2 linked regions of the Tamandua tetradactyla genome follow. The protein of the gene in region 1 binds, or shares a complex with, the protein of each later gene. Links are inferred from orthologs where the notes say so. Each region holds a gene or a part of one and is shown in the gene's direction. Other genes may lie near its edges. The genes, in order: KLHL3 and WNK3.

Region 1 (15,256 bases):
CCAAACTGCCTTCCACAGTGGTTGCACCATTTGACAGTCCCACCAACAGTGGATAAGTGTGCCTCTTTCTCCGCATCCTCTCCAGCACTTGTCATTTTCTGTTTTGTTGATAATGGCCATTCTGGTGGGTGTGAGATGATATCTCATTGTGGTTTTGATATGCATTTCTCTAATGGCCAGGGACATTGAGCATCTCTTCATGTGCCTCTTGGCCATCCGTATTTCCTCTTCTGGGAGGTGTCTGTTCAAGTCTTTTTCCCATTTTGTGATTGGGTTGGCTGTCTTTTTGTTGTTGAATTGAACAATCTCTTTATAAATTCTGGATACTAGACCTTTATCTGATATGTCATTTCCAAATATTATCTCCCATTGTGTAGGCTGTCTTTCTACTTTCTTGATGAAGTTCTTTGATGCACAAAAGTGTTTAATTTTGAGGAGGTCCCATTTATTTCTTTCTTTCTTCAGTGCTCTTGCTTTAGGTTTAAGGTCCATAAAACCGCCTCCAGTTGTAAGATTCATAAGATATCTCCCTACATTTTCCTCTAACTGTTTTATGGTCTTAGACCTAATGTTTAGATCTTTGATCCATTTTGAGTTAACTTTTGTATAAGGTGTGAGATGTGGGTCTTCTTTCATTCTTTTACATATGGATATCCAGTTCTCTAGGCACCATTTATTGAAGAGACTGTTCTGTCCCAGGTGAGTTGGCTTGACTGCCTTATCAAAGATCAAATGTCCATAGATGAGAGGGTCTATATCTGAGCACTCTATTCGATTCCATTGGTCGATATATCTATCTTTATGCCAATACCATGCTGTTTTGACCACTGTGGCTTCATAATAAGCCTTAAAGTCAGGCAGCGCGAGACCTCCAGCTTCGTTTTTTTTCCTCAAGATGTTTTAGCAATTCGGGGCACCCTGCCCTTCCAGATAAATTTGCTTATTGGTTTTTCTAATTCTGAAAAATAAGTTGTTGAGATTTTGATTGGTATTGCATTGAATCTGTAGATCAGTTTAGGTAGGATTGACATCTTAATTATATTTAGTCTTCCAATCCATGAACACGGTATGCCCTTCCATCTATTTAGGTCTTCTGTGATTTCTTTTAGCAGTTTTTTGTAGTTTTCTTTATATAGGTTTTTTGTCTCTTTGGTTAAATTTATTCCTAGGTATTTTATTCTTTTAGTTGCGATTGTAAATGGGATTCGTTTCTTGATTTCCCCCTCAGTTTGTTCATTACTAGTGTATAGAAAAGCTACAGATTTTTGAATGTTGATCTTGTAGCCTGCTACTTTGCTGTACTCATTTATTAGCTCTAGTAGTTTTGTTGTGGATTTTTCCGGGTTTTCGACGTATAGTATCATATCGTCTGCAAACAGTGATAGTTTTATTTCTTCCTTTCCAATTTTGATGCCTTGTATTTCTTTTTCTTGTCTAATTGCTTTGGCTAGAACTTCTAACACAATGTTGAATAATAGTGGTGATAGTGGACATCCTTGTCTTGTTCCTGATCTTAGGGGGAAAGTTTTCAATTTTTCCCCATTGAGGATGATATTAGCTGTGGGTTTTTCATATATTCCCTCTATCATTTTAAGGAAGTTCCCTTGTATTCCTATCTTTTGAAGTGTTTTCAACAGGAAAGGATGTTGAATCTTGTCAAATGCCTTCTCTGCATCAATTGAGATGATCATGTGATTTTTCTGCTCTGATTTGTTGATGTGGTGTATTACATTAATTGATTTTCTTATGTTGAGCCATCCTTGCATACCTGGGATGAATCCTACTTGGTCATGATGTATAATTCTTTTAATGTGTTGTTGGATACAATTTTCTAGAATTTTATTGAGGATTTTTGCATCTATATTCATTAGAGAGATTGGTCTGTAGTTTTCTTTTTTTGTAATATCTTTGCCTGGTTTTGGTATGAGGGTGATGTTGGCTTCATAGAATGAATTAGGTAGTTTTCCCTCCACTTCGATTATTTTGAAGAGTTTGAGGAGAGTTGGTACTAATTCCTTCTGGAATGTTTGATAGAATTCAGATGTGAAGCCGTCTGGTCCTGGACTTTTCTTTTTAGGGAGCTTTTGAATGACTAATTCAACCTCTTTACTTGTGATTGGTTTGTTGAGGTCATCTATTTTTTCTTGAGTCAAAGTTGGTTGTTCATGTCTTTCCAGGAACCCGTCCATTTCATCTAAATTGTTGTATTTATTAGCGTAAAGTTGTTCATAGTATCCTGTTATTACCTCCTTTATTTCTGTGAGGTCAGTAGTTATGTCTCCTCTTCCATTTCTGATCTTATTTATTTGCATCCTCTCTCTTCTTCTTTTTGTCAATCTTGCTAAGGGCCCATCAATCTTATTGATTTTCTCATAGAACCAACTTCTGGTCTTATTGATTTTCTCTATTGTTTTCATGTTTTCAATTTCATTTATTTCTGCTCTAATCTTTGTTATTTCTTTCCTTTTGCTTGATTTGGGATTAGTTTGCTGTTCTTTCTCCAGTTCTTCCAAGTGGATAGTTAATTCCTGCATTTTTGCCTTTTCTTCTTTTCTGATAAAGGCATTTAGGGCAATAAATTTCCCTCTTAGCACTGCCTTTGCTGCATCCCATAAGTTTTGATATGTTGTGTTTTCATTTTCATTCGCCTCGAGGTATTTACTAATTTCTCTTGCAATTTCTTCTTTGACCCACTTGTTGTTTAAGAGTGTGTTGTTGAGCCTCCATGTATTTGTGAATTTTCTGGCATTCTGCCTATTATTGATTTCCAACTTCATTCCTTTATGATCCGAGAAAGTGTTGTGTATGATTTCAATCTTTTTAAATTTGTTAAGACTTGCTTTGTGACCCAGCATATGGTCTATCTTTGAGAATGATCCATGAGCACTTGAAAAAAAGGTGTATCCTGCTGTTGTGGGATGTAATGTCCTATAGATGTCTGTTAAGTCTAGCTCATTTATAGTAATATTCAGATTCTCTATTTCTTTATTGATCCTCTGTCTAGATGTTCTGTCCATTGATGAGAGTGTTGAATTGAAGTCTCCAACTATTATGGTATATGTGTCTATTTCCCTTTTCAGTGTTTGCAGTGTATTCCTCACGTATTTTGGGGCATTCTGGTTCGGTGCATAAATATTTATGATTGTTATGTCTTCTTGTTTAATTGTTCCTTTTATTAGTATATAGTGTCCTTCTTTGTCTCTTTTAACTGTTTTACATTTGAAGTCTAATTTTTTGGATATTAGTATAGCCACTCCTGCTCTTTTCTGGTTGTTATTTGCATGAAATATCTTTTCCCAACCTCTCACTTTCAACCTATATTTATCTTTGGGTCTAAGATGTGTTTCCTGTAGACAGCGTATAGAAGGATCCTGTTTTTTAATCCATTCTGCCAGTCTATGTCTTTTGATTGGGGAATTCAGTCCATTAACATTTAGAGTTATTACTGTTTGGATAATATTTTCCTCTACCATTTTGTCTTTTGTATTATATATATCATATCTGACTTTCCTTCTTTCTACACTCTTCTCCATATCTCTCTCTTCTGTCTTTTTGTATCTGACTCTAGTGCTCCCTTTAGTATTTCTTGCAGAGCTGGTCTCTTGGTCACAAATTCTCTCAGTGACTTTTTGTCTGAGAATGTTTTAATTTCTCCCTCATTTTTGAAGGACAATTTTGCTGGATATAGGAGTCTTGGTTGGCAGTTTTTCTCTTTTAGTAACTTAAATATATCATCCCACTGTCTTCTAGCTTCCATGGTTTCTGCTGAGAAATCTACACATAGTCTTATTGGGTTTCCCTTGTATGTGATGGATTGCTTCTCTCTCGCTGCTTTCAAGATCCTCTCTTTCTCTTTGACCTCTGACATTCTAACTAATAAGTGTCTTGGGGAATGCCTATTTGGGTCTAATCTCTTTGGGGTGCGCTGCAAAAATATGGAACGCTTCACGAATTTGCGTGTCATCCTTGCGCAGGGGCCATGCTAATCTTCTCTGTATCGTTCCAATTTTAGTATATGTGCCGCCGAAGCAAGCACATGTGAGACACTTTTTATAAATTTTATATTTGCAAGTGTTTCCTGTTGATTCTGTTTCTCTAGAGAACCTTAACTAATACAACTTGGTACCAGGATTGGTTCTTAAGAAACAGAATCTTAAAAATGGGTTTTTATGAATGGTTTTCTGCTCTGACTGGACTCAGAGGCACTAAGGACTCTGATTCCCATAATCAGAACGACACTCCCAATCCATGGAGTGAGTTGGCAAAAGAGATAGTCAAAATACCACCATTCGATTCTCCTAATGTTTCGCTTGTACGAAGCCAGGCTCTGGGGGATAATGTTTTTGACATCTTTCCGGAGTTTTGTGGAAATAAGAGGTAGAGATGTTGGCTGGTTGTTGTTAGATACACTGAATACATTAAGGAGTGAAAGGGATAGGCTTAAGACTTCAAACGAGAAGCTTAAGTGCCATCTGACAGATGCCGAAGTTTCTATGAGTATCCTGAAGGATAATCTTGTTTCCTGTAGCCGTAGGCCTGAGATCTCTGAAATTCAGACTCAGAATCTTGTTGTTAGAGTAGCAACTTTACAATGTAAACTGAAATCTCAATGTTGCATGGTGTCTGCTGAAAATGAGGGCATTGATTGGAAAGGAGTGGGACCCTGAAAAATAGGATGGTGACGTATGGATTAATAATGATGTCAGGGTGAGGTTGAAACCTTAGGTCATGCTGAGTCTTCTCCAGATAACCTGTAATAGTCTGCCCTGAGAACATAGCCACCCCACCTGCAGCCTGCCTTGCGGAGTTGGCCACCCAGCCTCCACCTGAAGGGATTAGCCCTAGAGTGATTAATCCTGTTTCACCAGATGAAACTGCAAATGAATGCCCTGAAGCAAATGGCTTGGAAGATATTTCTAATTCTTTTCATGACCCACCCCCACCACCCGTCCCTCATTTCTTCCAGACCTATAACTAGACTAAAGTCCCAATAGGCCCCTATAGGTGAGGTACAAAGTATCACATATAAGGAGGTGCATTATACTCCAAAAGAACTGTGTGAGGTTTCCAATTTATATAGACAGAAATCAGGGGAATATGTGTGGCAATGGATTTTAAGGGTGTGGGATAATGGTGGGAGGAATATAAGGCTGGGTCAGGCTGAATTGGTTGAAATGGGCTCACTAAGCAGAGATTCTGCATTCAATGTTATAGCTCAAGGGGTTAGAAAAGGTATTAACAGTTTGTTTGGATGGTTGGTTGAAACATGGATCAAAAGGTGGCTGACATTACCTGAGGTTGAAATGCCAGAACTGTCCTGGTATAATGTAGATGAGGGGATCCAGAGGCTTAGAGAGATTGGAATGTTGGAGTGGATTTATCATGCAAAGCCTGCTCTTACACCCCAGGAATGTCCAGAGGATGCACCTTTTACCAGAACAGTGAAAAATAAATTTGTGAGACTAATTCCATCATCCCTGAAGAGCTCTGTAGTTGCGCTTCTCTGTAGGTCAGATATTACTGTGGGAACTGCTATCACTGAGCTGGAATCCCACTGAGCTAGATGACCAGATCCCGAGTTGGCAGAAGCCAGGTGGCAGCACTTAATCACCAAAGACAGGGTAGATGTGGCTATTATAATAGACAACAAACTCAAAGCAGGAGTCAAAATTATATGACTTGCAGAGATTTGTGGCATTGACTAGTAAATCATGGGGTACCTATAAATACAATAGAAGGTCAGTCTACTAAATTCTTGTTTGAGCTGTATAAACATAAGAGTTCTAGGTCAAGTGAACAGAAGTCTAACCTGAATTACAAAAGCACAGAGCCACAGCCCCTTAATCAACTTCCAGATTTGAGACAGTTTACAGACCCAGAACCTGTTGAATGAAGGGGAGGCCAGGTTCCTTTGGGGGAGAATCCTGTTACACTTCCACAGATTTATACTGTTAATCTTCCTCCAAGCCTTCCCCGAGAAGACTGACGGCCTTTTACCAGGGTAACTGTGCACTGGGGAAAAGGAAATGATCAGATATTTCAGGGATTATTAGACACTGGTTCAGAAGTGACATGAATTCCAGGGGACCCAAAACGTCACTCTGGTCCACCAGTCAGAGTGGGGGCTTATGGAGGCCAGGTGACCAATGGAGTTTTAGCTCAGGTCCATCTCATAGTGGGTCCAGTGGATCCCCAGACCCATTCCGTAGTTATTTCCCCAGTTCCAGAATGTATAATTAGAATAGACATACTTAGCAACTGGCAGAATCCCCACATTAGCTCTCTAATTCATGCAGTGAGGGCTATTATTGTGGGAAAGGCCAAGTGGAAGCCCCAGGAACTGCCCCTACCTAGCAAAGTAGTAAATCAGAAGCAGTACCAGATTCCTGGAAGGATTGCAGAGATTACTGCCACTCTTAAGGACTTGAAGTGTGCAGGGATAGTGATTCTCACCATTCAACTCTCCTATTTGGCCTGTGCAGAAAACAGATGGGTCTTGGAGGTTGACAGTGGATTATTGTAAACTCAACCAGGTGGTAACTCCAATTGCAGCTGCTGTTTCAGATGTGGTATCATTACTTGAGTAATCAATACATTCCCTGGTACCTGGTATGCAGCTGTTGTTCTGGCAAATGCTTTTTTCTCAATAGCTATTAGTAAGGACCACTAGAAACAGTTTGCTTTCAGCTGGCAAGGTCAGCAATATACTTTCACTGTCCTATCTCAGGGATATATCAACTCTCCAGCCCTATGTCATAATCTTGTCCGCAGGGACCTTGATCATTTCTCCCTCCCACAAGACATCACACTGACCCATTATATTGATGATGTCATGTTGATTGGACCTAGTGAGGAAGAAGTAGTAACTACTCTAGACTTACTGGTAAGACATTTGCATGTCAGAGGATGGGAGATAAATCTGACAAAAATACAGGGGCCTTCCACCTCAGTGAAATTTCTAGGTGTCCAGTGGTGTGGGGCATGTTGAGATATCCCTTCTAAGGTAAAGGATAAGTTGCTGCATCTGGCCCCTCCTACCACCAAAAAAGAGGCACAATGCCTAGTTGGTCTCTTTGGATTTTGGTGACAACATATTCCTCATTTGGGTGTGCTACTCCGGCCCATTTATTGAGTGACCAGAAAAGCTGCTAATTTTGAGTGGGGACCTGAACAAGAGGAGGCTCTGCTACAAGTCCAGGCTGCTGTACAAGCTGCTCTGCCACTTGGGCTGTATGATCCAGCAGATCCAATGGTGCTGGAAGTGTCAGTTGCAAATAGAGATGCTATCTGGAGCCTTTGGCAGACCCCTATAGGAGAATCACAATGCAGACCCTTAGGATTTTGGAGCAAAGCCTTACCATCTGCTGCAGATAACTATTCTTCTTTTGAGAAACAGCTTTTGACCTGCTATTGGGCCTTAGTAGAAACTGAATGCTTAACCATGGACCACCAAGTTATCATGAGACTTGAGTTGCCTATCATGAGCTGGGTGTTGTCTGACCCACCAAACCATAAAGTTGGGGATGCACAGCAGCACTCTATTGTAAAATGGAAATGGTATATATGAGATAGAGTCAGAGCAAGTCCTGAAGGCACAAGTAAGTTACATGAAGAAGTGGCCCAAATGCCCATGGTCTCTACTCCTGCCACATTACCTTCTCTCCCCCAGACCAGAGCTATGGCCTCTTGGGGAGTCCCTTACAGTGAATTGACTGTGGAAGAGAAAACTCGGGCCTGGTTTACAGATCATTCAGCATGATATGCAGGTACCACCCGAAAGTGGACAGCTGCAGCACTACAACCCCTTTCTGGGGTGTCCTTGAAGGATGGTGGTGAGGGGAAATCCTCCCTTGGGTACAACTTCGAGCAGTGCACCTGGTTGTTCATTTTACTTGGAAGGAGAACTGGCCAGAGGTGTGTTTGTATACTGACTCCTGGGTTGTTGCTAATGGTTTGGCTGGATGGTCAGGGACTCGGAAAGGCCATAATTGGAAAATTGATGACAAAGACATCTGGGGAAGAAGTATGTAGATAGACCTTTCTGAGTGTGCTAAAAACATGAACATATTTGCGTCCCATGTGAATGTGCACCAAAGGGTGACTTCAGCAGAGGAAGGTTTTAATAATCAAGTGGATAAGATGACCCATTTTTTGGATACCAGTCAGCCTCTTTCCCCAGCAACTCTTGTCATTGCCCAGTGGGCTCATGAACAATGTGGTCATGGTGGTAGGGATGGAGGTTATGCATGGGCTCAGCAACATGGACTTCCACTCGCCAAGGCTGGCTTGGCTACAGCCACTTCTGAGTGCCCAATCTGCCAGCAGCAGAGACCCACACTCAGCCCCCGATGTGGCACCATTCCCCGAGGTGACCAGCCAGCTACATGGTGGCAGGTTGATTCGTTGGACCACTCCCTTCATGGAAGGGGCTGCGATTTGTTCTAACTGGAATAGACACATACTCTGGATATGGGTTTGCTTTTCCTGCATGCAATGCTTCTGCCAAAATTATCATCTGTGGGTTTACAGAATGCCTTATCCACCATCATGGTATTCCACACAGCATTGCTTCTGATCCAGGAACACACTTCACAGCAAATGAAGTGCGAGAATGGGCACATGCTCATGGAATTCTCTGGTCTTACCATGTTCCCCATCATCCAGAAGCATCTGAATTGATAGAACAGTGGAATGGCTTTTTGAGAACTCAATTACGGTGCCAACTAGGTGGCAATACCTTGAAGGGCTGGGGTAATGTTTTCCAGGAAGCTACATATGCTCTGAATCAGCGTCCACTGTATGGTGCTGTTTATCCCATAGCCAGGATCCATGGGTCCAGGAACCGAGGGATGGAAATGGGAGTGGCACCACTCACTATTACCCCTAGTGATCAACTTGGAAAATTTCTGCTTCATGTCCCTGTGACCCTGAGCTCTGCTGGGCTACGGGTTTTAGTTCCAAAAGGGGGAGTGCTTCCACCAGGAGAAACAGTGATTCCATTGAACTGGAATCTAAGACTGCCACCTGGTCACTTTGGGCTACTCATGCCCCTGGATCAACAAGCCAAGAAGGGGATTACATTATTGTCTGGGGTGATTGACCCTGACTATCAGGGGGAAATAGCACTGCAACTACACAATGGAGGTAATGAAGAGTTTTCTTGGAATATAGGAGATCCCCTAGGGCGTCTTTTAGTACTACTATGCCCTGTGATTAAAATCAATGAAAAACTGCAACAACCTAATCCAGGCAGGAATACCAATGGCTCTGAAACTTCAGGAATGAAGGTTTGGTCATCCCACCAGGCAAAGAACCATGGCCAGCTGAAGCGCTTGGTGAGGGTAAAGGGAACATGGAATGGGTAGTGGAAGAAGGTAGTGATAAATATGAACCTCGACCACATGATCAGTTACAGACACGAGGACTGTAATGCTGTTTTGTTCCTGTTATACTATTTAAGTTGTAAGATACCAAGTTTAAGAATGAATATTACCCAAGGATTTGCACCCTATTCTGGAGAGATTTAATGTGTTTCTAGTTATATGCAGGACAATTGAGTATTGTTAGGTGAAAGAAAAAATGTGTTTTATTGATTTTTATTTAGAAGTAAGTGTGGTTTAAGGTGATATGTATAGCTGCCAAGTAGACAAGAAGTGAACTGTCATGGTCAAGTTCATGTGTCAACTTAGCCAAGTGGTGGTACCTGCTTGTCTGGTTGGGCAAGTCCTGGCCTATCTGTTGCAATGAGGACATTTCATAGAATAAAATCATGATCACGTCCACTGCATCCACAGCTGATTCCATTTGTAATCAGCCAAAGGGCGTGTCTTCTGCAATGAGTGATGCTTAATCTAATCACTGGAAGTCTTTTAAGGAGGATTCAGAAGAGACAGGCTCTTCCTGCTTGGGCCGGCGAGCCTCTCCTGTGGAGTTCGTCCAGACCCTCCATCAGAATTGTCAACTTCACAGCCTGCCCTGCGGATTTTGGACTCTGCATTCCCATGGTTATGTGAGACACTTTTATGAATTTTATATTTGCAAGTGTTTCCTGTTGATTCTGTTTCTCTAGAGAACCCTATCTAATACAATATCATAACATAAAATCAATGTCAGATAAAATAAAAGCTTAAAATACAAAAATAAAAAATGTTAAGCTTTTATTAGAAAATGGAAATGAATATCTTTCTGTCCTTAGAGCAAGGAAGGGCACTAACTATAAAAGGAATTTTGCTTGTGGGATTTCTTTCATGAAGTTTTTCATCTTTGTGGGGTGCCTCCTCATCCTGATCTCATTTTCTGGCCTGAGATTTTCTTTATCCACATAGATACATGACTCTAATCATCTGCCTTCATGCATCTCTTGATATTTAGCTTCCTGTGCTCAGCTGACTTCCTTGTACCAAGAATCCAAACAGCCCCAAAGTTCAGATGACTAAGGCTTATGTTTGCATGTTGAATTGAAGGTGAGGCAGGGAGCCAAAGGAGGAGTCTGACATTATCAGACAGACAAACTGTAGGTCTGTCTTGTTCATTTTATTTCAGTGTTCCAATAGTTAGAAATCTGAGAGACTGTCAAATTTCTGCAATATTCTGTTAGCCACAGTAGCCCTTTTCTCTAGCCAGTTTGCAAGCCATGCACAGAGGAGACCCCTAGGGAAAGTCAAGGGATACTACTACCCCTAGTGTCCTAGAATTGGGGTGAACTGTGGGTCCCCAGTTCTACATGAGTGGAGAAGTTTCTGTTTCCCTATTAGCAAAGCTAAGCTGTGCCTGGTCTAAACAGACGTAACTTCAAATCCCAGACTTAACCTTGAAACTGAATAGTTTTCACTAGTTTGGGGAGAAAGTCTTTTCTTGTGTTCTCCTTTCCGCGTTCTTTCGATCTTTCCTTCCTACCCCCAGTGAAGTTGAAACATATTGGTCAGGAGTACTTGGACAGCTAGCTGATGTTTCATAGGAATCTGAATGTTTTGTCTCTTGATTTTAGTCTGGAAGGCTTTGAGATTATGGGTGACTCTGACTAGTAACCATCTGCTCAGTCAGCCCACACAGATAGCCCTTCTTTCCATAACAATTAAAATTCCCTGTCATTCTGTGGGATTATGGTTTCCCAAGAGCCTTCACTTTTATTCCTCTGTTCTTCATACCACAGGCAATGTGCTTTTTCTAAAGAACAAATTTGTTCACCTGCTTCCTCTCCTACTTCTCTGTTTAAAACCCTTTGACGGCTTTTCATTGTTTCAGCGTGAAATCCATACTCCTTAGCTTTGTCTCTAAGACCCTTATAAGACTGCTCACTCTTCTAGCCTTTTCTCTTGATGCTCTCCTCTTGTGCTATACTATCAAGTACTTTGGACACACTTTGATCTTTTTCTCTTCTGAGGTCTATATGCATACTGCTTCCTCTGCCTGGAATACGTTTTATCTTTTATATATGTATATATCTGATATATATATCTACTATATATATATATATATATATATATATATCAAATATATATCTAATTTCTGTTCTTCCTGTAGGTCTCAGCTTCCAGGAACTTTTCCCTTAACCTGCCAGCACTTGGTCCCAATTAAATATAGTACCTGCCACTTAGTAAGCTCTATTAAGTTTTTGTTGAATGCCCAAACATCCTTGTGAAGTGAATGGTATGGTTCTTAGCCCTTAGATGGAAGGATGTAAAATAAGGACCTTCCACAAGGTCACACAAGTATTTAGTGGAAGAAGCTGACCTAGGACCTAGTCCTCAGCCCTCTCAGGAGGAATGCACTTTTCATTGGAAAATCCTGCAGAAATGCCTGACCCAATGCATTTCCTTTCCTGCTGAGTCTGGGGTGAGAATGGGCTGGCAGAGATTCCCCTAGTGGGTAAGGAAATGCATGGTTTTGTGACAGTTGGACAGATGAATTTACCAATGTGTGATCCTCTCCCCTTCCTCTCCCTTCCTGCTCACAGCATCAAGCCGAGCTCCCAGCCACCAGCGCAGGCTGGGGATGATGAGAAGAACCAGAGGACGATCACAGTCAACCCTGCCCACATGGGGAAGGCGTTCAAGGTTATGAATGAACTGCGGAGGTATTTTTCCTTTCTTGCCTGTGCCCTTTCTGGGGAAACTTGGGGCGGGGGGAGGAGCGTCTTCCCGGACTGAGAGCAGGAGTCAGAACACCACCGCATAGAGCTAGCTCTGCTTCTTTCCCACCCACTCTCAGAGAAACGCTCCTGGTTTCTCTTTTAAACACTGATTGAAACAGAATGGTTTTGCTGGAAATTTCTCTTTTTCATTTTGTATTTAACACCTGTCATTTTAGTGTTTAATCACAGGGGACAAATCCTTTATGATTACAGCAGCTTTGTTCATAGACTTGATTTCTAACTGAACCAGCTGCTTGAAGACCAGTAATAGAATGATAGCAACACCTACACACAATTACAGATGAAATATTACTGATGCCACATATTTTCTTTTAGCCTCCCTCTCTCCTTCCTTGATCTGAACTTAGCTTGGCAAGGCAGTCACATGAATGTAGAATACCTAATTGCTCAAATGTGATTTAACTCTGTAAAGAAAGAAATGAAATGCAGATGTACTCACCCTCCACGAACTAAATCATTAGGGGAATGCAGGTCATTTGTAAGTGTGCCTTTGATGAGTTTGTTCCAAGGCAGGCTGAAAGCACCATCCCTGCATTTTTCTCTACAAAGCCTGTGTACGCAGCCAGCCTCTTCCTTAAGCAAAGAGCTCAGAAACTTCCCTTGCCCATACCATGATTTACCATATATTCCTCCTGTTATGAGCTGTGATCATTTATTTCCTCTTTTCTCGTTTAGTTTATCAGTAAGCTCCCTGAGGGCAGGGCCTCCTCTGAGTCATTTCTATCTCCAGCACCTGGCACTTCATAGGAGCTTCATTCATTTACCAAAAATGACTGGAGGCACACTGGCTGGGCCCTGGGGTGGGGGTAAAGTAATTAAAAATAAATCAATGAAAATGATCTTTCCACAGTGTATGGGTGTGTTATGAAGGAGGAATGCACCAGGTGCCTGACAGGTGGTAGGTGTGCAGTAAATTCCTGTTCCTTAAAGAGTGCTTTGAAAGCAAGTATATCACACTGGAACTTCAGAGAACATTTCCTAAAGAGGGTGATGGTTGAACTGAATTTTGAAGGGCAAGTAAGAGTTAAAGAGATGAAGGGTGGTGGGACAAGGGGGAGGCAGTCCAGGAAGAGAAAATGGCATGAGCAAAGGCACATGTATCTGAAGAAGTGTTTGTTGAATGGGAAATTGAGCTACTTTTAAACAAAAAATTCTATCTGATTCAATCCTCATTTCCTCAATTCTCTTTCTTCAGGGCCCAGTCTTTGGCATGAAAATCCAGGCTAAATTAAATTTGTCTTATGCCCCACTGCTCAATTTTTATTAGGCCTTCCGCCAGATTCCCTGGAAGCTCTGTTGATTGTTGTCTTATATAGCAGGCTATACTGATGTTCATACCTTTGTATGCTTCTCTTGTCACTAAAGAATTTATACGTCATGTTCCCTAGACACTATTGAGGTTCCTCATCTAGTTCACTTGAGTGTGGCTTGTGTCCTTTGTCTGATTTAAGACTCCAGGCCTCTCACCCAAACCTTCGTATTTTGCCTGGGATAGCCTACTCCCTTGAGCAGTGAGAGGGAGCACTCAGGGGAGAGATATGTACGCAGAATCTACCCCCCCCCCCCAGGCTCCGTTATTAGCATCCTTTCTTTTCTTAAATGAATTAAAAAAAATCATCCTGCTAAGTCCTCATTGCCTCTGTTGCAATTTGCTAGGTTTTTACACCTTTTCCCAAGAGAATCGACTTGGATTTAACTTCCTCCAACAGTTCTGTTTCCTCTTCTCTTTTGTATAAATCATTATTTGCCACAGTCTCTTCTGAGGGACACTGATTCTCTCAAGATGCTCTTCGGGAAAAAGGGCTCTGTGCCCAAATGTGTTTGAAAAATTCTGTATACTGTACACCTTCTGAGATTTATAATGCATATGGGGCATATTAAAAGCTCTGAGAAGTCCTGTAATAAAGGAACTTGTTTAACTGAAAGTTTCCTACAACATATTTGATATAGAACCATTTTGGTGGTTGTTGTTATGTATAGACTGTTTTGTGAAACTTGTTTTGGAAAATGCTGGTCTAAATTCCAAACATAGTCCTTTGCTGAAATTGAAGTGAGTAATAACTAACCTTGTTTTTCCTCTTTCTGTTTTTTCAAACGGACCACAATCTATGTATGTATTGTCTGAGAAAATTTTAGTTCAGTTTTGACATGGATGGTTAATTTCCCTTTCATTTTTCTCATGCTTTCTTTGGTAAAAGGAATATACTTATTAAAGAAAGTTTATAAAATGCAGATTAACAAAAGTCACTTATAATTTTATCATGTAGTGGTAACCATTGTTAACACTTTGGAGAATATCCTTATCTTTAAAATACATGTTTCAACCTGATTTTTCTCTTGACACTTTATTAAGCAAGTTGTTCTATGTCACTATTTTGCAATGTTATTTTAAGTGGATGCATAATATTCTATTTTTTGGTTTATTTTTTTCACATAGTTCCCCTGTTGGAAATGTAAGTTTTCCCAATTCCTTATATAAATGACACCTGCAGTGGTTATCTTTGTATCAGTATAGCATAGTGGTCATAAGCATAGACTCTGGAGCCAGAGAGCCTGTTTTCAAATCTTAATTGTAGGACTCACTAGCTTTGTGATCCTGGATAAGGTGATTAATTTCCCTGGCCTTACTTTCATTATCCATAAAATGAGGCTCTCAATAGTACCAATAAGTAAAGTGCTTAAGAACACTGACAGTGACAGCACCTGTGTTATTGTTGCTAAATACTTGAGCACATCCATTATTATTTCTATAGAATTAATTCCTAGAAGTAGAACTGCTTATTCCAATAGCAGCAGATTCAACAAGCATTTATTAGGTAGAATAATATAACAACAACAACAACAATAATAATACCTAGTCCTCCAGTATTGTTGTGAGACCTACCTGGCACACAGTTAGCATTATGTAAGTGTTAACCATTATTACTGTGATGTGTTAAGTATTGTGCTAGGTTACTGGCAGTAAATAAGAGAATCTAAGTCCTGCCTTCAATGAAGCTTGTACTCTAATGAGGTTCAAAGGGTATATAAAATTCCTAGTGTCTTAAGAGGTATTTAAATAGCTTATTTCTAAAAACTAAAGTGCGTCGGGCAAGACAGAGA
Region 2 (15,382 bases), on another chromosome or scaffold:
ATCCTGTTTCTAGGTCTCCTATTGACTGACTTTTCCTCTCATTATTGGTCACATTTTTCTGCTATTATGTATGCCTGATAACTGTTAAATATATGACATAAAATTTTCCACTATAATCATTTTAAGTGTACAATTCAGTGGCTTCAATTATATTCACAATGTTGTGCAGCCATCACCACCATTCATTACCAAAACTTTTCATCATCCCAAATAGAAACTATGTACCCCTTAAGCAATAACTTCTCATCCCCCCTCCAGCCCTTGATAACTTTGAATGTTTCTTTCTCTATGAACTTGCCTATTCTGAATATTTCATATAAATGAGATCATACAGTATTTGTCCTTTTGTGTCTGGCTTATTTCACTTAGCATAATATTTTCAAGGTTCATCCATGTTATAGCTATGTATGAGAGCTTCATTCTTTTTTATGGCTGAATAATATTGCATTCTATGGATATATCATATTTTGTTTTATGGACACTTGGGTTGTTACCAGCTTTTGGCTATCATGAATAATGCTACTATGAACATTGGCATACAAGTATCTGTGTCCCTGTTTTCAATTCTTTTGGGTATATACTTAGGAGTAGAATTGATGCCTAATAACTTTTTATTAGATGCTAGACATTGAATTTTACCTTGTTGGGTTGTGGATTTTTTGGGTGTGGGTGTATTCCTTTAAATTATTTTGAACTTTGCTTTGAGACACAGTTAATTACTGGGAAACAATTTTATCTCTTTTGAGTTTTGCCTTAAAGCATTGTACAGTGAGACCAGAGTAGTCGTTAGTCTAGGGATAATTTTGCCTTGCTACTGAGGCAATACAACCTCTGATTACTCTTCTTGATGCTCCATGTATTGCAAGGTTTCTCCACTCTGCTAGGAATATGAATTATCCCAACTCAGTGTGGGCCCTGGGGAATCCTCCCCCCTCCTACCTGTTCCTTTCAAGTGATTCTTTCCTTGGCCTTGGTACTTTTATCATATACATGTATTCTCTAATGCTCACCTGAAGACTCAAGGTGAACACTCTGGAGGTCTCTGATGCACTTTCTCCATTAAGCTCTTTACTTTCCATGCACCTTGTCCCTCTCTGACATTCTGTCATATAAATTCTAGCCATCTTGGCCTTCCCCAATTCTCAGCTCCTCCTCTTCAACTAAGGGTGAGGCTCAAGCTCAATTTGGATTCCCCCTCCCTGCACTGTGGTCTAGAAACTGTACAGGGGCGAGCTGGGGCAACCATAGAAGTCACCTTATTTTTTTCTCACCTCGCAGGGATCATTTTCCTGCACTGCTTGATGTTCAATGTCTGAAAACCATTATTTCATATATTTAGTCTGTGTTTTCAGTTATTTAAGGCAGAGGGTAAGTCTGATCCCTGTTATTCAATCGTGGCCAGAAGTCCACTGAAAGGTTTTAAGCAGATAAGTGACACAAATGGATCTGTGTGTTACAAAGATCACTGCTGGCCAATGTGAGAAATGAACTAGTGCTACTAGGCCACAGGCAGAGAGATTAGCGAGGAGGCTGGTACAATTTAGTCCTATATAAGCATCATCGTGGAAATCTGGCAGCAAGAAGCACAAGCTCAGCCAGTCCCAGGACAGGTTTCAGGTTTGGTCTCTGTGAAGGAGGGCGACAGGTGAAAGCAAGACAAGCCCCAGTCCCAATACACAGGGCAGATTATGTATATGGCAACAAGCCAGGGCATCAGTCACTGAAACTGGGGAACCAGAAAATAAATAAGTTTCAGAAACCAATTGTGGAGAAAAAAAGTATGCAGAAACAGCTACCAATGTCAGGGTCTGACATTTTAGCTTGTGCTCTGATAGTCTATGACTGAGTGAATGTAAGCCTGACAGCTTGTAGCACTTATTGCAAGGAACATGTACATGACAATTAGTTGTTCAGTACTTTGTGACAATTCTTGAATTATTATTTTCCTTTTCACTTGTTTATGTGTTATCTCCTCTTCTGTATTCTAAATCCACCAGAAGTCGAGACTATAATTGCATGCTTGTCTTTCTTACCAGTAGCAGCATTACTATAATTATTTTTCCCAGATTTCCTGACAGTCAGTCCAATACTCTTTTTTAAGTATATCACTTAACCTGCATTCTGAACAGAAATAGTTTATCAAGTGCTCCTTGTTTTATGTAAGGATGTGTTCTTGAAAAAGCATGCCTGGCTTAAAACTGCAGCTCAAAAACAATTTTCTCTCAAGAAATTATTGTAAAAGACTTCATTATAACATTTCCATTTTGCATGCATAAAAGTTTTGCTATAAATTTTCTTCATTAAAATGCTCTACAAAATCACAGAAGTAACATGTGCTAACCACCCTTAAACACATACATACTCCTAAATGAGGTAACCAGTATTAAAATTATGGTTTAGAGACCCTTTTGCAATTTCCTCCAGATCAACAGGTACAAATCCAACTCATTATTTTTAATAGCTGTGTAATATGCTTTAGTGTGACTACACCACAATTTATTCAATCATTTCTGTATTTATGGACATGCAGGTTTCTTGGTACTTTTCTTTCTGTAGGATAGATTTCAAACAGTGGGATTGCTGAGTCAATGGGTATATAGCAGGCACCGTGATTGCCTAATCATTTGGCATTTGGCATTCTCCTCCTTCTTTCTTGCAAACAGAATGCTGGTTTTGTTCCGGTATTAAGTAGAGAACCCTTGATCTCAAGGAAGGTGGCCCCAGTCCCTGGTCTTTAAGTGGTATGTCATCCAGTTATGGCAAAGGAGATATATGAATGAGTTTCCTTGGAGATATCTGGGGAAAAGTGTCTTCCCTAAAAAAAGTACAGATGTGTATCTTTTGCTTCCCTGCCCACTGCTGCCCCCTCACCCTTTTTTTCTGCCTTTAAATGCAATTGTGATGTCCAGATTCAGTAGCCCATCTTGCAAGGATGAAGTAAAAAGCTTAGGGACAAAAAGGCAACTTGTCAAGGATGGTGAGAAGGATGGAAAAAGACTAGGTTTGTGATGACCTTGTTAAGCAGCTGATCGAATGCTAGCTAGCATCTGTGTCCCTCCAGATTTCTTGTTATGTGAGAAAGAAAAACAAACCTCTATTTGTTTAAGACATTGTTAAATTTTCTGTGACTTGCAGCTCAAACCATTCTGAATAGATACTGTGGAATTTTTATTGTTATTTAATTCTTCCAGATTACTTTCCAAAAAAGGTAGTAGTGATTCATACTCCTATCAGCAATGGATAGATGCAGGGAAATAGACACTCACCTGGAATTTATTTTTGTATATGGCATAAAGTAGGGATCTAGCTTTGCTTTTATCTAGTTGGAAAGCCAATTTTGAAAGCACTGTTTATTAAATAAACTGAGATATTTTTGTATTTTCTATAGTTGTTGCTTTCATTTTCTATATCTTCTTTTCCCTGCCTACTCTTCCCAGGTCTTATTGTCCCAGGAGAAGGGATATGGCAAGACTAGAAGATTTCATCTGCCAGTGTCTTTGCTTTTGTATTTCAAAAGCCCAAGTCCTTAGGGGAGAAGAATTAGGGGCATAGACAAAGTGTCTTGGCCAGAAAATTCAAAGTGAGAAGGACTGTATCTAGGCTAAAAAGAGATTCTATTCTTTTCTTGCTCCCTAGGGCTGGGGTTAATGTAATGTGATCAGGGAGATCCTTGGGTCCTGGGTAGAGGGAACCTGTGTGGTGCTTCCTGGCATTGTCCCTGCGTAAACAGCAAATCTTGAAGAGAACAGAGCCTGTGCAAAAATTCCCAAGCAGGGTCCTATAGCAACAAAGCCCTGCCAGAATATTGTGGGCAGAAGCAATGGACTTCTGACTGCTAACCTGTGTTGCTTGATGACTAAGGATTTAATGGGCTCTTGCTCCAATGCCTCAACAATGTATAATAGTCCAGAACTGTGGCATGAGCCTGGGGTAGAGGAACTTCAAGAAGAACTGAGGTTAAATTATGTTGTCAGCCTCATGGAATGGGGAGCTTGATGTCCAAAGTTAAATGGAATCACAGGCAATACAGAAAGATATAACAAAATGATTAAGAGCATGGACACTGAATGGGTTCAACTTCTAGCTCTGTCACTTAATTGATGTGTTACTCTGGGCAAAGTTATTTCACCTTTTTTGTGCCTCAGTTTACTTATTTGAAAAATTATGTTAGTAACGGCATTTACCCAGTTAGATTCAATGGGCTTGTATAAAGTATATAGTAAATGCTATTTAATTATTAGCTGGCATTATTATTATTATTATTTACCTTAGTGGGTGACTAAGAGTCATATCTGCTACATGAAGGATTTGAGAAATGCCAATGGGCTGTGACAAGACTATTCAAAGACTATTACGGAATGTTTGGGACAGAGAGAGAGAGAGGGGTGAGTGAAAGTGAGGAAAGGAGGGACACAGATGCTAGCTAGCATTGGATCAGCTGCTTAACAATGTCATCACAAACCTAGTCTTTTTCTGTCCTTCTCACCATCCTTGACGTGTTGCCTTTTTGTCCCTAAGCTTTTTACTTCATCCTTGCAAGATGGGCTGCTGAATCTGGACATCACAATTGCATTCAAAGGCAGTCTTAGCCCAGGAGACTGAATTCTCTGGTTTCCACAAGAATATCCTAATATCTTATGCCAGCCTGAATATTTCTAAAATGTATCTTTACCTGGAGAGGGAAAGGCAGTTCCAGTAACCCCAACTCAGTTTCTGCAGCCTGGGCATGTGGGGAATTTGCAAAGGAGTTAAAAGCTTGGATACTGCACATTTAAGAGAAGTGATGTGGGCTTACTCTTTTTCAAGCACGCTGTCCAAGGGTCACTTTCCCAGGCAAAGGCACTCAATTTCCCTCTGATGTATGTCTTGGGACATATGGAAAGACTGTGTTTAGGAATAAGGAATAGGAGACCAGACTCTGCAACTAGGTTAGAAAAATGATATTGCCCAGCCTTAAAGGTGCAGTGTTTCTAAGTCAGTAATTAAGCCAAAGACAGCTGCTCACTTCTGAGGTAGGTGATGCTTATTACAGCTTGCTCTTACTCAAGGGACATTCAACTTGTGCTGGGAGGAAAGACAGCCTCCTGGGAGGACATTAACAAGTCCCAGATGATCCCAGTGAGAAATTCCCCCAATGCCAAAGCTTTGTGAAAGAAAATATTGCCCATACATTCAGGCCCTGAGAGCTAATGTCTTGAGCAGGGGACACCTGGATGAGAAGTAAATGCTTAGATTTATTGAAGGGAGAATATGCCTGCAATATAATTATGGGAAATAAATGGATCTTTTTTCTTCCTTATATTTTGCCTTTTTAAAATCTTTCCAGTGCCCCCTCACCAGTATATTCAGCTTTGCAATGTATCTGCAGGGAGGTGGCAAGGAAGGAAAACATATACTCTACTAGTCTCTCTGGATTTTGTGTTCTAAAAGCCTAAGTTTTTAGAGAAGAGGGACTAGGGTGCAGGAGCAGAGACAAAGTATCTGGGCCAAAAACTAGAAGAAAAAGATTTACACAAATCTAAAAAAAGATTCTGCTCTTTTTCATTCCTCCCTTCTTGGGGGGAAGAGGTGACAAGAGCAGACAGAGAGAGTGCTGTGAGAGTTAAAGCAGCATAGCTCAGCTTCCCAGAAGCAATATCTGATACATGGCAAGACTCAAGAGAGGAAAGGCTGTGTAGAATGTTTAGACAGACAGACCAAGAGATGGCCTCAACATAGAATTCTGTGCACCAAGTTTGGCAGAGATGCTGGAGAGGACCACAGCACCTGAATGACCCATGTGGGCAGAGAACTCAGCAGTAACTGACTGGATCTAAGGACAGGAAAACAGATACCCTTACTCCACCCCTACTGCCTTCTTTCCAGGTAACTACATATTCCTCAAACCTGGGTTAAGAGAAATGAACTTCAAGAATGATATTGTTTTCCCAATCACTTGGTAAAAGAAGGGTTCAGAGAGAGAAACTGAGTTCTAGAAACAGTCACATCTCTAACCATGGCTGAAGTAGTCAGCTAACTGTAAACTCTGAGGCTCATCTTGGCTCCATTCTTTCTAGAAGTTACCATTCTGTGTAGTAGGAAGAAGAGAAAAAGGTAGTAGGGCCATGAAACTACCTTTTCCACCCCAAACCTGTGGGATGCTAGGGTCTAAAAGTGGTTCCAGTGAAGGTTTTTGTAATTTCTTGGCACCAGAACCTCCAGATAGATGAACTAGATTATCGGAAAGATGTTTTCCTGGAATAATATAAATACAAATTACAAGTGGTTGATAAAAGTAAAGTTTGCTGTTCCATGAATAGAAACCTTACAGATGCCACTTGAGAGACAGTGGGTAAGACGGGAATGTTCGTTTCCATAGATTGGTAAGCAGCTATAATTGCCCTTTCATTCTATAGCAGCATTTGTGCTGAGTTATGGATTAGGTTATTGCAAACAGAAGAGCACATAGGTCAATAAAAGGTCTAAAATGAGAAGGGTCTGTACTTGGATAGGGAGGAGACTTGTCCGATTTTCTAATTTCTGAAGTTTGTAAAAGTCACACTGATTTATGGTTATTAAACAAATATTTGACTGTCAAAGAGCGAATGCTCAGACAGGTTCAAATCTGAGCAAGGTGAAGGGCTGACATTTCCAAATATTGTTTTATATTGATTGCATCATCAGGTACAGAGGCAAAGGAAGAGGCCATAACTGCGGGGGGGGGGGGGTGGCGGGGTGCCTGTTACTTTTTGTAAAGGTGGACGTGTGCGGTGCTGGTGGGAGTAAGGCAACCAAGAGAAAAAATAAAGGAGTAAACAAGTTTCTAATTACCATCTCAGTGGGAGCCAAGAATTACAAAGACTTGGAATAACTTTGTAACCTTTGAAACCATTCCTTAGAGGCTATTTAGCTACTGTTATTCTATTTTTCCACAGTAGTCAGCAATTCAATAGAGAAATAGCACTATTTTTTGCGCCAGTGAGGAAAGGAGTGTGGGAGACCCCATCCGTTTTATAGCTAACTGGGAATGCAGAGACCCTTAAGGTAGAGTGGTGGCACTATTTGGAGAAAAACACACCTTGCTCTTCCAAATTTGGTCAGGAGGCTGTTCGCAGGTGGAGTAGCTGGACTTTATAGCCCTGATTCTTGTTTACTCAGAGTCTCCCCTCATTATCAAAATTGAAACATGGGAGTTTGATTTCATTAAGGGCATGGTCTGGTTTTCTTACATGCTCAAGCAATTCTAGCATTAATAAACGACCTTCAAGAAGAAAGGGGCAGAGACAAGAGACAGGGCTACAAGGCCTCCCTCCATTCAGTCCACTGACTTTGGAAACCTCAAGAGTTAAATTTATTGATGAATTTTAAAGAGCTGAAAAAAGGCTAACGTTCTGCGGCCTGCAACAGGAAAAAAAAAAGAAAAAGAAAAAGAATGTATGGGGAGTGGTGGTGGTGGTGGGAGAGGTTGGCTCAGCCCTGTGATATGGCTCTGAGGCTGGGTAGTTGAAAATATTAGTTTGGTAATCCGACCCCCCCCCCCCCCCCAAGGCATCCTGCTAAGGCCTCAAGGGCATGTGGGGAAAAAATCTCACCCTTTAGGAGCTTTCATTAAGGGGCTGGGAGATTGGAAAATGCAGGGGCGCTGCAAGGAAGCACACCTGGGTTCAAGTTCTGGCTCCACTATACGTAATTGTGTGAACTTGAGCAAGTCATTTTCCCATCCAGAGCCTCAGTTTCCTCCTCTGGAGAGCCGGGATGATCGATGTGAGAATGACAGAAAAAAATCTGTACTGCGCCTGACACAGCACAGGAAGCTGTTCTTAAATGAAGCCAACTGGCTGAAGTTAACATGTCATGAAAGCTCAAAGGACTCAGCATTCACTATCAACTAGAGGATCTGATTGCTTCTCAGGGAGGTGGTCGTTCGGAGACCGTGAGAGCCTGCCTAAGAGGGAGGTGGCCTTTCCGCATGCGCGTAGCCTAGGAGCCCAGCAGAGTAGCGAGAGGGCGGGACAAGGCGTCTTAGGGGTTGCTATGGTACCCAGGGGCCAGGGGAGGTGAACCGAACCCTTACAACGTGACTCCCTTCCCTCCCCACCACTGCCAGGGCCGAGGGCCATTGTTCCCGGCAAAATGGCGTCGGTAACTTCCCCCCGCCCCAATTCCCGGCCCGAGGTCTAAAGTAAGGCTGGGGGTGGGGGGTGGGGGTGGGGTGGGAGTGGGACTGGAAGTGGGAGCAAAAACTACAATTCCCAGGGTACACCGTACCCGTCTGCGAGGCACAGGGCACGTGCCCAGGCCTAGCGGTTACATGCCGTCAAATATCGGTTTCATAGCTTTTCTTTCCCATCACTGCTTTCGTTGTCTTTCAGTTCATGCGCGCACAATGCGATCCTCGGGCGGGGAGGGGGGGCATATGCCATGGCTGTTGCCCTCATAATGTAACCGGGAGACCGGTATTTATAAATCTGTGCTTCGACTTCTAATTCCGAAGCCTGCAGGTATGAGTCTCGCGAGAAAAGTCGGGAGTTGGAAAAAGGGACTTTGGGGTGGCAGCCGAAAAGGTGCTGTTGGGTACCACATGCCGGCAGAGGTACCGCATTTAGAGGCTTGGGGACAACTGAAAGTGGGTGGTGGGTGGCTAGGAAGTGGCGTGTGCATTGACTCTTTTTTCTTTTGAAGGGGGAGGGTAAAACAACTGATGACGAGAGGGAGAGCTCCTTAATATATAGCAGATATGCGTCGTTCCTCACTGATATTTTCATTTTGGAAAGAGCAGCCTTTCTCCTCGACGCGCATCCTTCTCTCCCGCTGCGTTGAAGAGGGCGGGGGAGAAATGCGCATCCTGTAGTTGGCTAGCCAAACGGCCCCTCGCAGCGATAGGGGCAGTTAGGAGTTGGGGCTGGTCTGTCGGTTTTCTCCGCCCCTCACCCTGTCCTTAGCCCCGTCCCCTCACTTCCCCGCCCCCCTCCGCCCCTCTCTCCTACCCAGCTGAATTCCCTAGCTGGAGTACGCGTGCGCCTTCTCTGCTCCCAGGCGTGCGCGAGCTTTGGGCTTGTACCCCGCTCCCCTAACCCCGCCCGCTCTTTACCTACCATCCCTGGCTGGTCCGGTGGGCTCCTGGTGGAGACGCTCGCGCGCGCACGCGCGCAAGACGCGGAGCGGTGCTCCAGACATCGAGGAGGGGAGAGTAAGAAGCATCGGAAGAAACGGGAGAGGAGGAGGTGGTGTGCGTGTGTGTTTTACGGAGAGGGGCGAGCAGAAGCTTCAAAGAGGGCGAGGGAGAATCGTAGAGAGTCCGAGTCTCCCTCCGCGAGATCCTCTAATCTGGTGAGGGTCCCGGGCCGTTTTGGACGCTGGGAGAGGAGGAGGCCGGGGGGCGTGTCTGAGATTGGGCTGAAAGATGAATGGGCCAAAGATGAATGGAGAGAGGCAGCGGCGGCCAAGAGTCTGTTCGGAGTAAGAGCTTTAGTAGGGGACAGCTTGACCCAGGCTGGGTGATTGCAGTAACCAAGAGTCTCGGATCTTGGGGTTTGTCGAAGCTGATGTTTAAGTGATCGAACACAGGCGGACACGAAAATAAAGAGGGGGAAAGTGGGGAAGGGCAGGTTTGAGATTTAGGTGCGTTTTTTGTTATCTTTTTTGAGAAGGGGGTGAGGAGGAAGATGGCAACTTTGGGAGTTGATGGCAACAAGGGAACAGGGGAAGATGAGTAGGATATAGGAGGGGGGGGACTAAGAAACAGTTGACAAAGGACCGAGTGATCATTTAAGTGTGATTGAGGCCGCTGAAAGGGTAGAACGCTTCGGGTGTGGGAAGTTGAGTAAGGTTGCAGTGGGTTATATTGATGGGAATGGGGCGGGGAAAGAGTGGATTTAGTTTAAAGGTTCAGTTGATGTATGGGGGTCGATAGGACTATTGGCTGGTTGTGTAAAAATATGTTAGGTTCAAGCAGATTGAGAACTGTTATTTGAAAATGGGTAATGCTTTCTGTGACGGGCAGATTGGGGATAGGGAGGAGAGGGTGTATTAGGGTTAGAATGAAAGTGGTGAAGTGACTGTACTGAAAGAGGTTTTATTTATGTCGGTAAAAATCCTGCACGTGCCTATCTCCGTATCTTGGGAGTTGATAGACCTTGTTAAAATGAAAGAGTCCTCAAAAAAAATTTAAAAAGAGAAGTGGTGTGGGTATTCTTTTTAAAGAGTTACTGTTGTTGAGTGAAGCAATTATATGAATGAAGTCTTGGATTCTGAAAATCTTCTGTATAGTAGAGATTACATCCAATTTTGGGAGACATTGTTACCTTTTTTCATCTATAGCAAGTTGTTATACCAAGAGAACATTCGAAGAGGTTTCAGTATATATAACACTGAGCAGCAGGTGTGTCTTGCAGACAGTCTCTGTATTCTTTGTACTGATGAGTTTAAACTGCACAGTCCAGAGGAAAGACCTTGCATTAAAGGATAGCTAAAATGCACAACAGCTGATTTGAACACTAAAATAAACATGCATGTGATTCTTTTTGTCATTCTGAATTTACCTTGTTTGCAAATTGGAGCCTGTTTTTTGATGTGAGTTCAAATTCTAGCAGATAACTTGGACATTTTGTTCTCTGAATACATTGCTTGTCTTCTGGTAAAGATGTAATGGTCTCATTCTGTTCTGTGTCACGATTAATAGTCTATGGATTTATAACTTTTCATGATTATATTTACAAACTTTGTTGACATGTATTCATTTATCTTGACAATGTTGCAAACTTGAGGACATTCCCATGCCGTTTTTCTTTTATTCTTTTTTGATGTTGGAAAGAGTGTAATTTCTGTTTTGGCTACCCAGAGTTTGAATTCAAAAGTTAGTAATTCTGTTCATAGTATCTCTAGTTGAGATGAATAGTTAGTGTATTGAGAAAGTATCCAGTACCTGAAAATGTTGCACCAACTCTGCTTAGCAAGGTTGTCTTCCAATTTTGAACTAAATGCTCCTGTAGTGGAGGACATTCAAGGCATTGAGGTTTGAAAGCATAAGCTTGGTAAATCTGGGGAGTGGAATCTTAGGTTGAGGCTGGGGTTGGGAGTTAGGAATCCTTGGCTGTTTTTAAGAAGTTACACACATAAGCAGATTTGTGGGGTTTGTCTCTTTGCCTGTGCTTGTGATGCCACCTTCTGCCTGGAATCCTCTTTCTCCCCCTCCCTTTCAATTTGAACTCATTGTTTGAAGACTTACCTCTGCAATCACCTATTTCCAAAAGACTTTGCTGTGCCCCCTTCCTTTTCTAAGCACACTCCACCAAGCTAGGTTAGGTGCCCCTCTTTAGAGTTCCCATTATACCTTGTGCATATTTTTATTACTGTACTTCTGTTGGAATGAAGGCAGGAAAGGTATTTTCCTCCTTTTACCTGAGAAAGAAAGTAAAGTCTACAAATAGTAAGACTTACACCAGTAAGTAAGTGATAGACCCCTGTCTTCTAGACCAATGCTGATCCTCATATGAGGATAAGTCTTTATTCATTGATGTAATTATCCTGTAGTGTTTCAGGAGTTTATTTTCTTTAATGCTGATTTAACTATCTTCCATAAAATAGAGGAGTTTCTGTCTTCACTAGGTTGCTTATCGCTTAGCCAGAAAATGATCAAGTCAATGTTTGCAAAGAACCAGAATAGTCAGGAGTAAAGAAGATGAAAACTGTTATGTACTCGCAGATTTATAGTCTGGTAATTTAATTAAAAAAACATTAATGAAGGGTGTAAGTTTTTGTGTATATGTGTATGGGGAGGGGGAGGTGGGCAATCGAAATTGTATGTAAGAAAGAACGCTTCCTTTTTCATCTCCCATCTTCGGATAAATAGACCAACTTTATTTGCTGAAATACTTGATTACTTCTCTTGGCTAAAAGCCAGAATTCTTTCAAAGGAGTGGGACTTTTCCATTTTTGTTTGAGACCATAAAACTTATGGCAGTGTTAGAAACTACTTAATAATTGTAATAGATGGCTGTAAAAGCATTCATTTAGAAATTCACAAAGGTTCAAAAGTGGAATTTGATATGATATTTTATTGTTTTGGTAAAACTTGTCATGAGAATTTGGTTTGGAAGATGCTGAGATTGACTTACTGCAGAGGTAAGCCTTTTTTACAGAAATATATTTTTGGATGAACTTTCCTTTAATAGAAATGAGTTATATATTTTTTGTGTTTTAGCATGATAACTTGAAAAAATGTTAATTGTGGTAAAATTCACATAAAACTCACCTTTTAAACCATTTTAACATGTACAATCGAGTGGTATTTAGTACAGTCACAACGTTGTGCATCCATTGCCACTATCTAGCTTCAGAACATTTTCATCACTCTAAAAGGAAACCCCATACCCATTAAGCAGTCACTCCCGCATTCCCCTCTCTCCTCAGGCTCCCCTCCCCGGGGACCTCTAATCTGCTTTCTGTCTCTTTGGATTTGCCTATTCTGTACATTTCATATAAGTGGGATGATACAATATGTGACTTTCATGTTTGGCATCTTACATTTAGCATAATGTTTTCGGTGTTCATCCATGTTGTCACATGTATCAAAACTCCATTTGTTTTTATGGCTGAATAATATTCCATTGAATGGCTGTACCATGGTTTGTTTATCCATTCATATGTTGATGGATACTTGAGTTGTTTTTACCTTTTGGCTACTGTGAATAATGTTGCTATATACATTTGTGTACACGTTTTTATGTGAACATATGCTTTCATTCATCCTGAGGAAATGGAGTTGGAATTGCTGAGTCATATGGTAATTCTATGCTTATCTTGCTGAAGAACTACAAAACTGTTTTCCACAGAGGCTATGCTGGTGCAGTCCCACAAGCAATGTATGTAGGTTCTGATTTCTTTATATCCTCACCAATGCTTGTTGTTTTCCATTTTTTGATTAAGACCATACTAGAAAGTGTGAGGTGGTATCCCACTGTGTTTTGGATGTGCATTTCCGTAACTGACTAGTGATGTTGAGCATCTTTTCCTGTGCTTGTTGGCCATTTGTATATCTTCTTTGGAGAATGTCTGTTCAAATCCTTTGCCCATTTTTAAATTGGGTTGTCATTTTGTTGTTCAGTTGTATATATATATATATGTTCTGGATACTAGACCCTTATCATATATATGATTTGCAAATATTTTCTCCCATTCTGTGGGTTGTCTTTTCACTTTCTTAACAGTGTCCTTTGATGCATAAAAGTTTCTAATTTTGACAAAGTCAAATTTTTCAGTTTTTTTCTTTTGTTTTGCTTGTGGTTTTGGTGTTTTTATCTAGGAAACCATTGCCAAATCTAAGATCATGAAAATTTATCCCTATGTTTTCTTTTAAAGAGTTTTAGCCCTATATTTAGGTCTTTGATCTATTTTCAGTTAACTTTTATAATAGTTTGAGGTAAAGGTCTAACTTCATCCTTTTCATGTAGATTAACTTGAAAATTTAAAACTATAAAACATAATGCACAGTACTGTATGTGTATAGTCGTTAAATGAAGATATTTTTTGGCAATATCTAATCACTCTGGTCAGTTGTACCAGAGAAATGTTTCTAAATTAGTTTTTGAAGTTCACTTGTATTTGAAGAGGTGGGATATTCTAAAGCTCTTTTGTGAATCACTGAGACTTTATGATAAGGGAACTTCAATTTGTCAATCCTTATCCTAAAGTTGTATAAGTGATTTTTTAATAAAAATAATTATTTTTGATTTCTGATTTTGTGTAGGACAAAATCTTTGCTTAAATCTAGGGAAAAAAAACCCAGAATCTATAATTATCATTTTATTTAGCCAGAAATTGGCATTAGATTTATCCTAAAAGCAATCATATCCATGTGTTATATCGTTTATGATTCTTCCGATGTGAAACTTTTCCAAATATTTTGAGTCAATTTCTTAACCAAAACTGTACTAATCAATGCCTTGCTTAGGTTTTAGCTTAGACTTCACCTATATATTATATTTATTCAGGAATAATGTAAGATAAGTTACATTAAGATTAGTTACTTGTAAAAATGAAAATTTAGTACGGTATAATTGTTCAGTACATCACAGGCTCTCTAGTTAAGCATAATTAAATTAGGGTCATTCGAGTTTTTTTAAAGCTAAGGGATATGTTTTAACACAAGAGTGGAAAAATTGCACTTGATCACTCCCAGGATCTATGACGTGATAGTTTAGCTCTGATTATATCCCCTGCTGCCCACAAAATAATTTTATTCCTGCTAGGCCTTTGAAGATTTTTAGCAAGAAAAAAACAGCCCTTTAAGATATGTGGTTCATTTGCTAAGGAACATTTCAAAGGCTCTGATAACTTACTCTGAAGCTGTTAGTCCAAGTGAATTGTAGAGTATGATTTACCAGAGGTATTTGTAGTTTCTACCATTCATTCAGTGAATTTTTATTGTGTTCCTCCAATGTGCTAGGATTGATGTGTTGAGTGTAGATGAAAAGGCAGACGATGACCCTACCCTCTTGAGGTTACATTACAGTGGAGGATAACAGCAGTCGACAAATAAATAAGATCATTTCAGAAAACAAAGGTTAAGAAGAAACTTTTAAAAAGGATGATGATTCCTTGGGGGAAGGACCTCTTTAGTTTAAGTGGTTAGGGAAGGTTTTTTTGAGGAGGTGACTTTGAACAGAGACCCGAATGTTGAGACCATTTGAGATCCTGTGGTGGAGACTCTAGTTTTGAAGGCAAAGACCATAACTTGTCTTACTGTTTTCATCCTTTGCTCCTTCCCAAATGCCCAGTGTGTTCTTCAAACCTAGTTATATTATTGAACTAAAAAATGTTAAAGCTTCTTATTTAAAATGAGTGAATTATTACTTTTTGCATCTAAGATAAACAAGTAAATCCCTTATGAATATAGACAGTATTCCTGAGCGGAAATGTCACTGGAATGTAGGAGTCAGTCTGGGTTCTAGTCTTGCCTCAGTTCCTTAGTGTGATCTTGTACAAGTTGGTAAACATCTATTTTCTGATTTGTTATTAAACAAAACAAAACAAAAAGCACTAGCTACTTTCCGTGGTTTCTTTGCTAATCAAATGAAAGCATCTAAACATAAAATAAATAAATAAACAAACAAAAAAAAACAAATGAGGCCATCTATTTTGTAAATTATATAACTGCATATAAAATGCATTGTATTCTAATGTATTTTTGGAGTCATAGTTTCTCAATTGAGAAATGTTTTCCCATTAATTTTAAGTTTTTATGTCTCTACCAATCTGGTAAATTTTAGCACCAAATGTTTAATCTCTGATTAATCAGGAGGGATTGCTTTCTTAGAATGTTGTAGTGTGGTTGAAAGTATATTGATTTGGAGCTAGAAAATGGGTTTCAGAATTTTCCTATTGGGAAAGATGCCAAACTTTT

The links.
Region 2: the proteins of KLHL3 (region 1) and WNK3 are in contact, whole or in part, in a crystal structure (PDB 5NKP), measured with the Homo sapiens proteins. The link is inferred for Tamandua tetradactyla from reciprocal best matches to the Homo sapiens genes KLHL3 and WNK3. Residues at the interface, in NP_059111.2 of Homo sapiens: Lys312, Arg339, Phe355, Gly357, Arg360, Thr386, Phe402, Gly404, Ser405, Gly407, Ser432, Ser433, Tyr449, Gly451, Arg454, Cys456, Ser481, His498, Arg528, Tyr577; in NP_065973.2 of Homo sapiens: Glu537, Cys538, Glu539, Glu540, Thr541, Glu542, Val543, Asp544, Gln545, His546.

Annotation. Positions count from the first base shown.
Region 1 is NC_135346.1:17,186,014-17,201,269, reverse strand, and holds the start of KLHL3 (kelch-like protein 3), read left to right. Parts: upstream 1-7,306; 5' UTR 7,307-9,842; coding exon 9,843-10,009; intron 10,010-11,956; coding exon 11,957-12,076; intron 12,077-15,256. UniProt on the Homo sapiens protein: Substrate-specific adapter of a BCR (BTB-CUL3-RBX1) E3 ubiquitin ligase complex that acts as a regulator of ion transport in the distal nephron.
Region 2 is NC_135353.1:114,429,460-114,444,841, forward strand, and holds the start of WNK3 (serine/threonine-protein kinase WNK3), read left to right. Parts: upstream 1-8,048; 5' UTR 8,049-8,161; intron 8,162-8,392; exon of another isoform or gene 8,393-8,572; intron 8,573-8,973; exon of another isoform or gene 8,974-9,309; intron 9,310-15,382.